2 linked regions of the Kluyveromyces lactis genome follow. The protein of the gene in region 1 interacts with the protein of each later gene in a biochemical or structural test. Links are inferred from orthologs where the notes say so. Each region holds a gene or a part of one and is shown on either strand. Other genes may lie near its edges.

Evidence for each region.
Region 2: the proteins of RAP1 (region 1) and TAF5 form a complex in vitro, tested with the Saccharomyces cerevisiae proteins (2 studies listed by BioGRID, with this or other methods). The link is inferred for Kluyveromyces lactis from reciprocal best matches to the Saccharomyces cerevisiae genes RAP1 and TAF5.

The regions. Positions count from the first base shown.
Region 1 is NC_006040.1:1,620,875-1,624,747, forward strand, and holds RAP1 (DNA-binding transcription factor RAP1), read right to left. Parts: upstream 2,503-3,873; coding exon 502-2,502; downstream 1-501. Other genes in the region: GTPase-activating protein GYP7, read left to right, coding at 1-348; PPN2 (putative serine/threonine-protein phosphatase), read right to left, coding at 3,102-3,873. UniProt on the Saccharomyces cerevisiae protein: Essential regulatory protein in yeast whose DNA-binding sites are found at three types of chromosomal elements: promoters, silencers, and telomeres.
Region 2 is NC_006041.1:2,087,353-2,091,321, reverse strand, and holds TAF5 (chromatin modification protein), read right to left. Parts: upstream 2,807-3,969; coding exon 326-2,806; downstream 1-325. Other genes in the region: GPI2 (phosphatidylinositol N-acetylglucosaminyltransferase), read left to right, coding at 1-138. UniProt on the Saccharomyces cerevisiae protein: Functions as a component of both the DNA-binding general transcription initiation factor complex TFIID and the transcription coactivator SAGA complex.

The DNA of each region.
Region 1 (3,873 bases):
CAAAAACACAGCGATGTCGTCGTTTCTCAATTAACAGAGTTTGACGACGTGTTAAAATATTTCAATGATTTGAGAAACAGCATGGATTGGTCTGATATCATGATAAGAAGCGAACTTCTTTTTATAAAGTTTCAGAAAATGATTGAAGTTCTCGAAAGAGAGGAAGAACTAATAAGCAAGAGGACTACAAGTACAGGGTATAATGGACATGAAATACCGCTCACGAGCGAAGCGGAAGATCCCCCGTTACATCATCCATCGCTTATAAGTGAAAATTTGAAAGAATTATTATCAAAAGAACTTGTGATACAAAAGGAAGGGCCCCGCAGCAAGGACTCAATAAAATAGTACATTATGTTTCTGCTCATAAATATGATCGATACATTACATATAAAGTATGATAATTTCATGTCAAAGACTGACAACTGCGACCAAAATCGGTATATTATAATGAAAGTAGGGAAATGTTAGTTACCTAAGTGAGACAACAAGAGTGTTTATTCACACTAGATTGTTCTCTTGGAACCTTATCCTCATTTGCATTCTAGCAATACCATGTTTCTTTTCTAGCATCTTCATTCCATCTGGATTCTTTGATCTTAAGATCACATCATCCTCCTTCGTCCATATACCGGGGACATTTTGCGGAAGATGTACTCCATATTTGAATGATGTCAGAATGTATCTTGGAAACAATGAGATATCACCAGTTAAAGCAGTTAGGACAGATGTAGCGTATTTCTTTCTGATACCGCACTCAACGTCAAGATCATGAACAAGGACATCTGCTTGTGACTCATCATATTCCCTAGTAATAATCTCTTCCAACTTTTGTATGAACTCCTTGGTAGATCTGAAATTGAAAAAGGTATGATCAAAGAAATCATCATTATCAGCGAGCTTGGGTGGGAAAGGTATTGAATCAAAATCATAGTTATCATACTCTTCATGTTCCAAAGCCACTTGATGACGAATTCTTTCCGCGACATCATCAGCATACAATGAACGTGCTTGCTCTTCTTGTTGTGTTTCAGCTGCGTGCAAATCACGCCTAATACCATCTATTAGATCGAATGCATCTGATTCTAAGAAGAAATCATTCAAACTGGTATCTGTTGATTGCTGAGTACCACCTTCGGTAGATCTCTTACTCTTTTTTAGGGTCGTATTATAGTTTCCGGGTGATGGTCCTTCTCTCTTGGGTCTGTTGGTCATATTTTTGATAGACTCAGGTTCTATACCTTCTTCCATGCATTTCTCATAGTATGAAATGTATGAATCAATACCATAAGGCAGAATAAATTTACGGAAACGATCCCTCCATGCATTTTCTGAATGGGTTGGTACTTCAAGTGCGAATAATTTGAAAAATTCACGAGACAATGGTCCTCGGCGGTCATTTACAGTATACTTTTCGAAAGAAGGTACTTCTGATGGATCAATTTCTGTATTCATAACTAATTGTCGTTTCGCGACAATGTTAGGTTCATCATCTTCAGCGATCAAGCTTGCTCCTGTATCAGGGTCTCTTTGAAAAGCATCTCTGTAAAACTGTTTTTTCACAGCAACCGCCAAATTATAATCTTCTTCACTTGTAAATTTCCTCTTTAATCCATTCGGTAGAATGTCTGTTTTGATTAGATTTCCATCCTGGTCCCTTACCAATTTACCATCTTCATCGACTTGATAAACGAATTCTAATCTCTTCGATAAATAGACTCTAAATCTATGTCTGATAGAATTCCCAGTATGATTAGGGACATAATGTGAGATTTCATCGTATAATGTGTGTGTGGTTCTCTTAGTGGGGTTCTTCCTGACAACATCAAGGATGAATTCATCCTCTTCTTTAGTGAATGAGGATTTATTATGACTTGAACTTGCTTGCTCATGTAAAATAAGATCATTGGCATCATCTACATCTGTGTGGGTCAATTGTTGCTGTTGGTCATGAGAAGCTATTTCGTCATCCTTGGAAGACATTTTCACTTCTGGGGACGAATCAGAATCCATTTCTCTCTGGCCCCGAGTATTCTCGGAATCAATCGACTCGTTGATCCCTGTTGCTATCTTGACTGCAGCTCTTGTTACGTCAGAGCCAGGAAGATCGGATAGCTGACTACCAATGTTATATTCATCAGAGATGGAGTTAGAATCGAACCGAACAAACCCGGAAGACTCAGGTTTACCCAAGTAATCATGGACGTTTAAAAGTGTACCTGCATCAATACAATCTAAAATGTAAGATGGATGCACAAATATTCTATAGTCCTCATCATACCTCTTGGAAACAAAATATGCTGCTTCCCATTCTCTCGAACTCTTCTCTGGAGCCTCTATTAAGACTGCCCCACCGTTATTGCGAACTGCATTGCCCAAAGCTTCCATGTCGTTGATCAAAGGGTCAATGAAAAACGAGACTCCATCAAAAACACCTACATCTTCTTTTATTTGAACCGATGGGGAATCCAAGGCTGTGTCAAAATCATCTGCATGTGACATCTTCCTTCGTTGGTTTTGTATTGCTAAATGAGTAAAGGGTATACGTGGATTCGCCAATGTAGAGACAGCTTCTCTCTTTAACGCATTCGACTCAAGTCAAGTGAATAATATTATCTAAACAGTCAGGCGGCAGTTTCCCGTTGATTGTTACCTTATTTTAACTGAACCAAACGATAGAAATATAACCAATGAGCAAACAATGAAAGGTAGCACAATGAACAAAACAAGACCCGCGGTGCTGTAAATATCTTTACTCTGAGTGAACTTGCTTTGTCTCTCACTTTTGTAGCTGACGCAACTCTTAACTACTTCGCGTGTGCGTTAAAGACTTGTTTTGGTTACGTTTGTTTACACTGAATTCCGGATTTCCTAAATGTCGTGTTTGTTCGTAATCTCTGGGTGCTGGCCAGCCATCCTTTGTTTTTTTTTTTTGAATGCTTCCTCAAATTCAATTATTGATGCTTTATCATCACAGAGGAAAAGATGCAACATTCATTTAGTTCGAGTCAGGGTAACACATCGATAAACTCTTTCTATATGTAGTCTTTATATATGTATGGGCACATAATGTGCGTGTATCTGAGATATTGTGGGTACTTTCAGTCTTGACAAGAGATTTGATGCATAATGTGGTTGTATTCTTTCGTCTTATGGTTCCAAACGTATTCAAGAGCAGTCAATTTGTTACCATTGTAGCAAGCAGAATCCAAACCTTTTGTGTTTGGACGAATATTTAGACCTTTAGAAGAATCATGGCCATAAATCACTTTAATCTTATTGTGTATCGAATATTTCTTCTTATCTAAAGGGTTCCAAAGATGATACCATCGTGTAGCGTTCTCGAATTTTTGTCTTGTAGTATGAGAGTGATCATTTACGTCGACGTATTTCATATCGGTAATTTCTTTCAATGGAGGATTTCCTAAATGATCTGGAAGAACACCGGCATGAACTGCTACAAGAGTGAAATTGTCGTATAGTGGATCCTGTAACTCCCACATAGCTCCACACTTAGCTGCCAATCGAGCAAGATTGTCCCAACCCAATTCTCTTGCTAAACGGCGATGATTCTTGTTGATGGATGGTAAGTCTGGCAGGAAGTCTTCTGAGGAGAATTTGATTTTGATCAATTTCCTTTTAGTTAATGATATAGGGTTTAACAATGCATACAAAATTCTCAATTCGTTGTTGCCAAGAACACATTTCACGTCATAACCTACATCATCGTTTAATATTATTTGTTCCACAAGTCGGTTTGAATTTGGTCCCTTTGAAATAAAATCACCCAAAAAAACCACAGTGGTATTAGAATCTGGTTTCACTTTGTCTTCCATCAACTGCTCATATTTATGATACATCCCATGCACATCA
Region 2 (3,969 bases), on another chromosome or scaffold:
ATCACGATACCTTTGGGAATATCATCTTTGTTACTATTATTTGGAATCCCTCATTACTATATCCACTGGGAAAGCTACTATTATAAAGGACATCCGATTTTACAGCAGTGGGACGCTGAAAAACCAATATTAGATTAGTTATTAGGATTCTGTTAACATTTACATTTCATTGACTGCATTGATATCAATGCACATAAAATATACGTACTCATTGTAAATAATATAAAGATAAAGCGCATTCTCTTTTTTTTTATTTATTACAATTGGACAACTACTAGATATGTCGAATAAACGACCCTTATCTGGCTGAGTAAAGTAATCGCATTTACTCAATAAATGCACCACCAGCCAAAACTAGGTTCGTTCTTGTGAATTTTACTTTGTGAATTGCTGTTTTCTTTGTATGGAACGAAGCCATCAAATCCTGAGTTGGTATTACTGCCCGCCTACGTCCGAATTCTTTGATATCGTTATTTACACTGAGTTCCATATCTCCTGAATACGTGTTGAATTGTTGTTCCGGCTCCATTCCAGGCTCGTTTGTAAACCTCTTTATATCCCAAACTCTAACACTTTGATCCGCACCACCTGTTACTAGACAGTTACCTTCTTTGTTAAAAGTTATGGAATAGATAGGATTCTTACCGTGACCCTTCATCTGTTTGATTCTTTTACCAGTACCAATATCCCATACGATAATTGTGCCATCCTCACTGCCCGTAGTTAACCACCTACCGTCAGGCGATACTTCAAGTGCGGTGACTGGTGATGTATGTCCCAAAAACAGTCTAACAGAATCACCTGTTTGAATATCCCACATACGGCACGTTTTGTCGCTGGAACCAGTGAAAACATAGCAACCATTTGGATGGAAAGTGCTACAATCCACGTCATTTAGATGACCTGAGAAAATTCTCAACGGATAGATATGATCACAAGACCATAGTCTAGCCGTTTGATCATGTGAAGCGGTGATGAAATAATGGCCAAGTGGAGAAAACTTGACGTACCATACTGGATGGTTATGGCCTTTGTAACACACTAGGCAAGTGAACGTATCTAAAGACCAAAGTCTGACAGTTTTATCTTCAGATGCGCTAAGTAAGTACCTGTTATCCGGGCTGAATGCAACGGAATAAACTGGTCCGCTGTGTCCTACCAAAGTAGCAGAGTTCGATTGGTCTTTAGCTTTGGATGGGAGGATCGACTGTAGCGGTGATCCATCAAGGTACCATACCTTAATTGTACTGTCTTGGAAACCAGCTGCAGTTAGTCTAGCATCATCACTAAATTCTACGCAAGTCATATTACCATTAGTGTTGTGGAAAGTGTACATACACACACTTGGTGCAGAAGTTTGTAGGTTTTTCAATTGGATGGAATCTCTACTCTCCCTTACTTTTTGAATTTCCATCTTTAGATCTAAAGTTGTTTTTACCGGTAGCGGCAACGAATCCTTTGCTGGTGATTCCATCATAGATCCAATTGAAGCCTCTGGTTTTTCTTCCTCGTCTTTATTCTTTGAGTCTCTTTTCTTTCTTTCAGCAGCCGATGATTCGACACTAAGTGTAGGAGTGCCTTTCTCTTCTGTATCTGCTGTTGCATCGACTTCTTCTCCACCCTCTTCAGCTTCAGGTTCCTTATTTTCATTTTCTTCCTTAACGGTGTTATCATCAGCTTTTTCAGTGCCCTCTGGTTTGTTCTGATTACCGTTCATTTCTCTATATTCCTCAACTAATGTCTTACCGACAGGTTTATCCTTATTCTCAGCTGCCTCTTGTTCATCTTTTTTCTGCAACTCAATCTCTACTTCCTTGGTGAACTCTTCGTCCTTTGGATACGGTCCTAACTTCACAGGTACCGAGTTATACGTATCAACATCAATATCACCGGTTGAGATATCTTTGATCCCGTCGGTGAGAATATCCTCAGATTTGACAACATCTACGATATTTGGATCCAAGTTTTGGTTTATGATGGAAATCAACAAAGATCCTCCCACACTTTCGTTTTCGTTCAAGAAATACAACAAAAGGTTCAAAGTAGTTCTTGAGATTGTGATCTTATATTTATTGGTTTGGAAACCTTGAGCCAACTCATTTTCCTTGATGTGATCTACTGAGTTGACACTGAATAATCGGTTAATTTCTGATCCATGAAGGGCTTTGTAATCGACAGAATACTTGTCAAAGAATCTTCTCGCTTGTAAGGGGTCCTTGATGACCAACTGTAAAAAAACGTAAATGAAAATCGGGTATATGATACGTGATAGCTCAGGTTTGTACAATTCTAAAGACGAATCGATCCAATTTTTCAACATTGAGTAAGCTCTAAAATAGTGCAAGGGTGTCACCTGTTGCGGTTTTATCAATTGGCCGTTGTTATCTCTTTTCAAGGGCATCGAAGGATTTGAAACAGGTTTTGCAGTGGTAGTACTTCCTGTAATCGCAGTGGCTGATGCAGACGAGGCAGGGATTGTGTTAGAAGCAGCAGCGTTTTTATTTGGAGGCGTCAAAGTACGTGACGATTCAGCACGAAGCATCTGTTCCGTTCTGTGATACCCCTTCTTATTCAAATATTCCAAAACGATGCGGTTCAAATCTGACGCTGAAAACCCCGGTTTAGAAGCTGCCGGTGCATTCCCACTGGCACCGCTACCGCCAGCATTGGCATTAGCGCTAGCATTTCCGGCCGCACTACTATTTCCATTGCCACTACTTCCGCCTGCACCGGGAGCCGTGGCTCCTGACGCTCCCCCAGCTGCATCGCCTGCCTTGTTTCCCTGTTGTTTGCCGTTCGAAGACATATTAAGCAAGCCGGAAACTGTGCTAAGAGGTTCTTCTCTTTCACGCTTTTTTTTTTTAAAAGGCTAAGCAAGTATACCTAGTTCCTTATTCAGCTTACTCCTAAGCTCAAGTACTGGTATAGTTCAAGCTTGCTAAGGCAATGATTTAGCAATCATTTGCTGTTTATTTGTTTACTTATTCATTCACATTTTTCAGTTTTATTTTTTTCCATATTCAACTTTCAACCTGGAAACTACTCTCAGACACAAAGTAACTGGCATTTAGAGATCTGAATTAAAGGTCACGTTTTACGGATTCAAGAATTATCTTTTCAGTACATCTCCGGGTAACAGGTTGAACAGCCCCGGAGTCCACAGCACGTTTTTAGACTTCGATTCGAACTTTATTTTAATTTTTACTCGCAGAACGCAGTTAAGCTACATATCTAGAGAACCCAGTATAAAATATATGTGTACAGAGAAACAGTGGGGAGAGGCTTTAAAGGGTCGGGAATTTTGCAGTGGCCTTGGGTGGGTAAATGAAGATCCCTATTTCACGATGCCAAAGCCATACCCCCCACAAATGACTTCCTTTTCGTTTTTCCATCCAGGGGTAGGAGTCCAGTAATTGGATCTGGATTCGTGTTTTTCAACTTCCAAAGAAGGGATGCTTATTTTGCGGGATGCCAGTTACCAATGTACATACTACGGGGGTACCTTCATTTGACGTGGCAATTGGAGGTAATGCGTGCCGCGTCTGTAATATAACAGAAATTATAAGTCACGTTGCCCTTATTTTACTATTTCGTTACCCGGTTCATGTAAAAATAATCCCATTGGGGTTCCACTAATGTCAGGAGACGAAGTTGAACAGCAATGAAACGGTGAAGTTGGGAAAAAAAACAAGAATTCAAGCACGAAAGTTGGAAAATTAAAGGAATTCGCCTTCTTCTCAGTTCTGATACTTGTCTTTCCATCGTCAAACGTTGCTCCATCTCATCGCAAGGCCCATCAGATACACTAGCAAACCGTTCTAAAACGCCAGCTGCTTCTTCTATAGAAAAGCCATACGCCGTTGAGTCACTGCGTGAGTGAATCAGTAGGTCTGTGAGTAGGATAATCTTTCCTATTGTACGTCGATTTAGATTTGCCAAAAAAGCGTTTGTTTCTAGTGCAGAAATCAG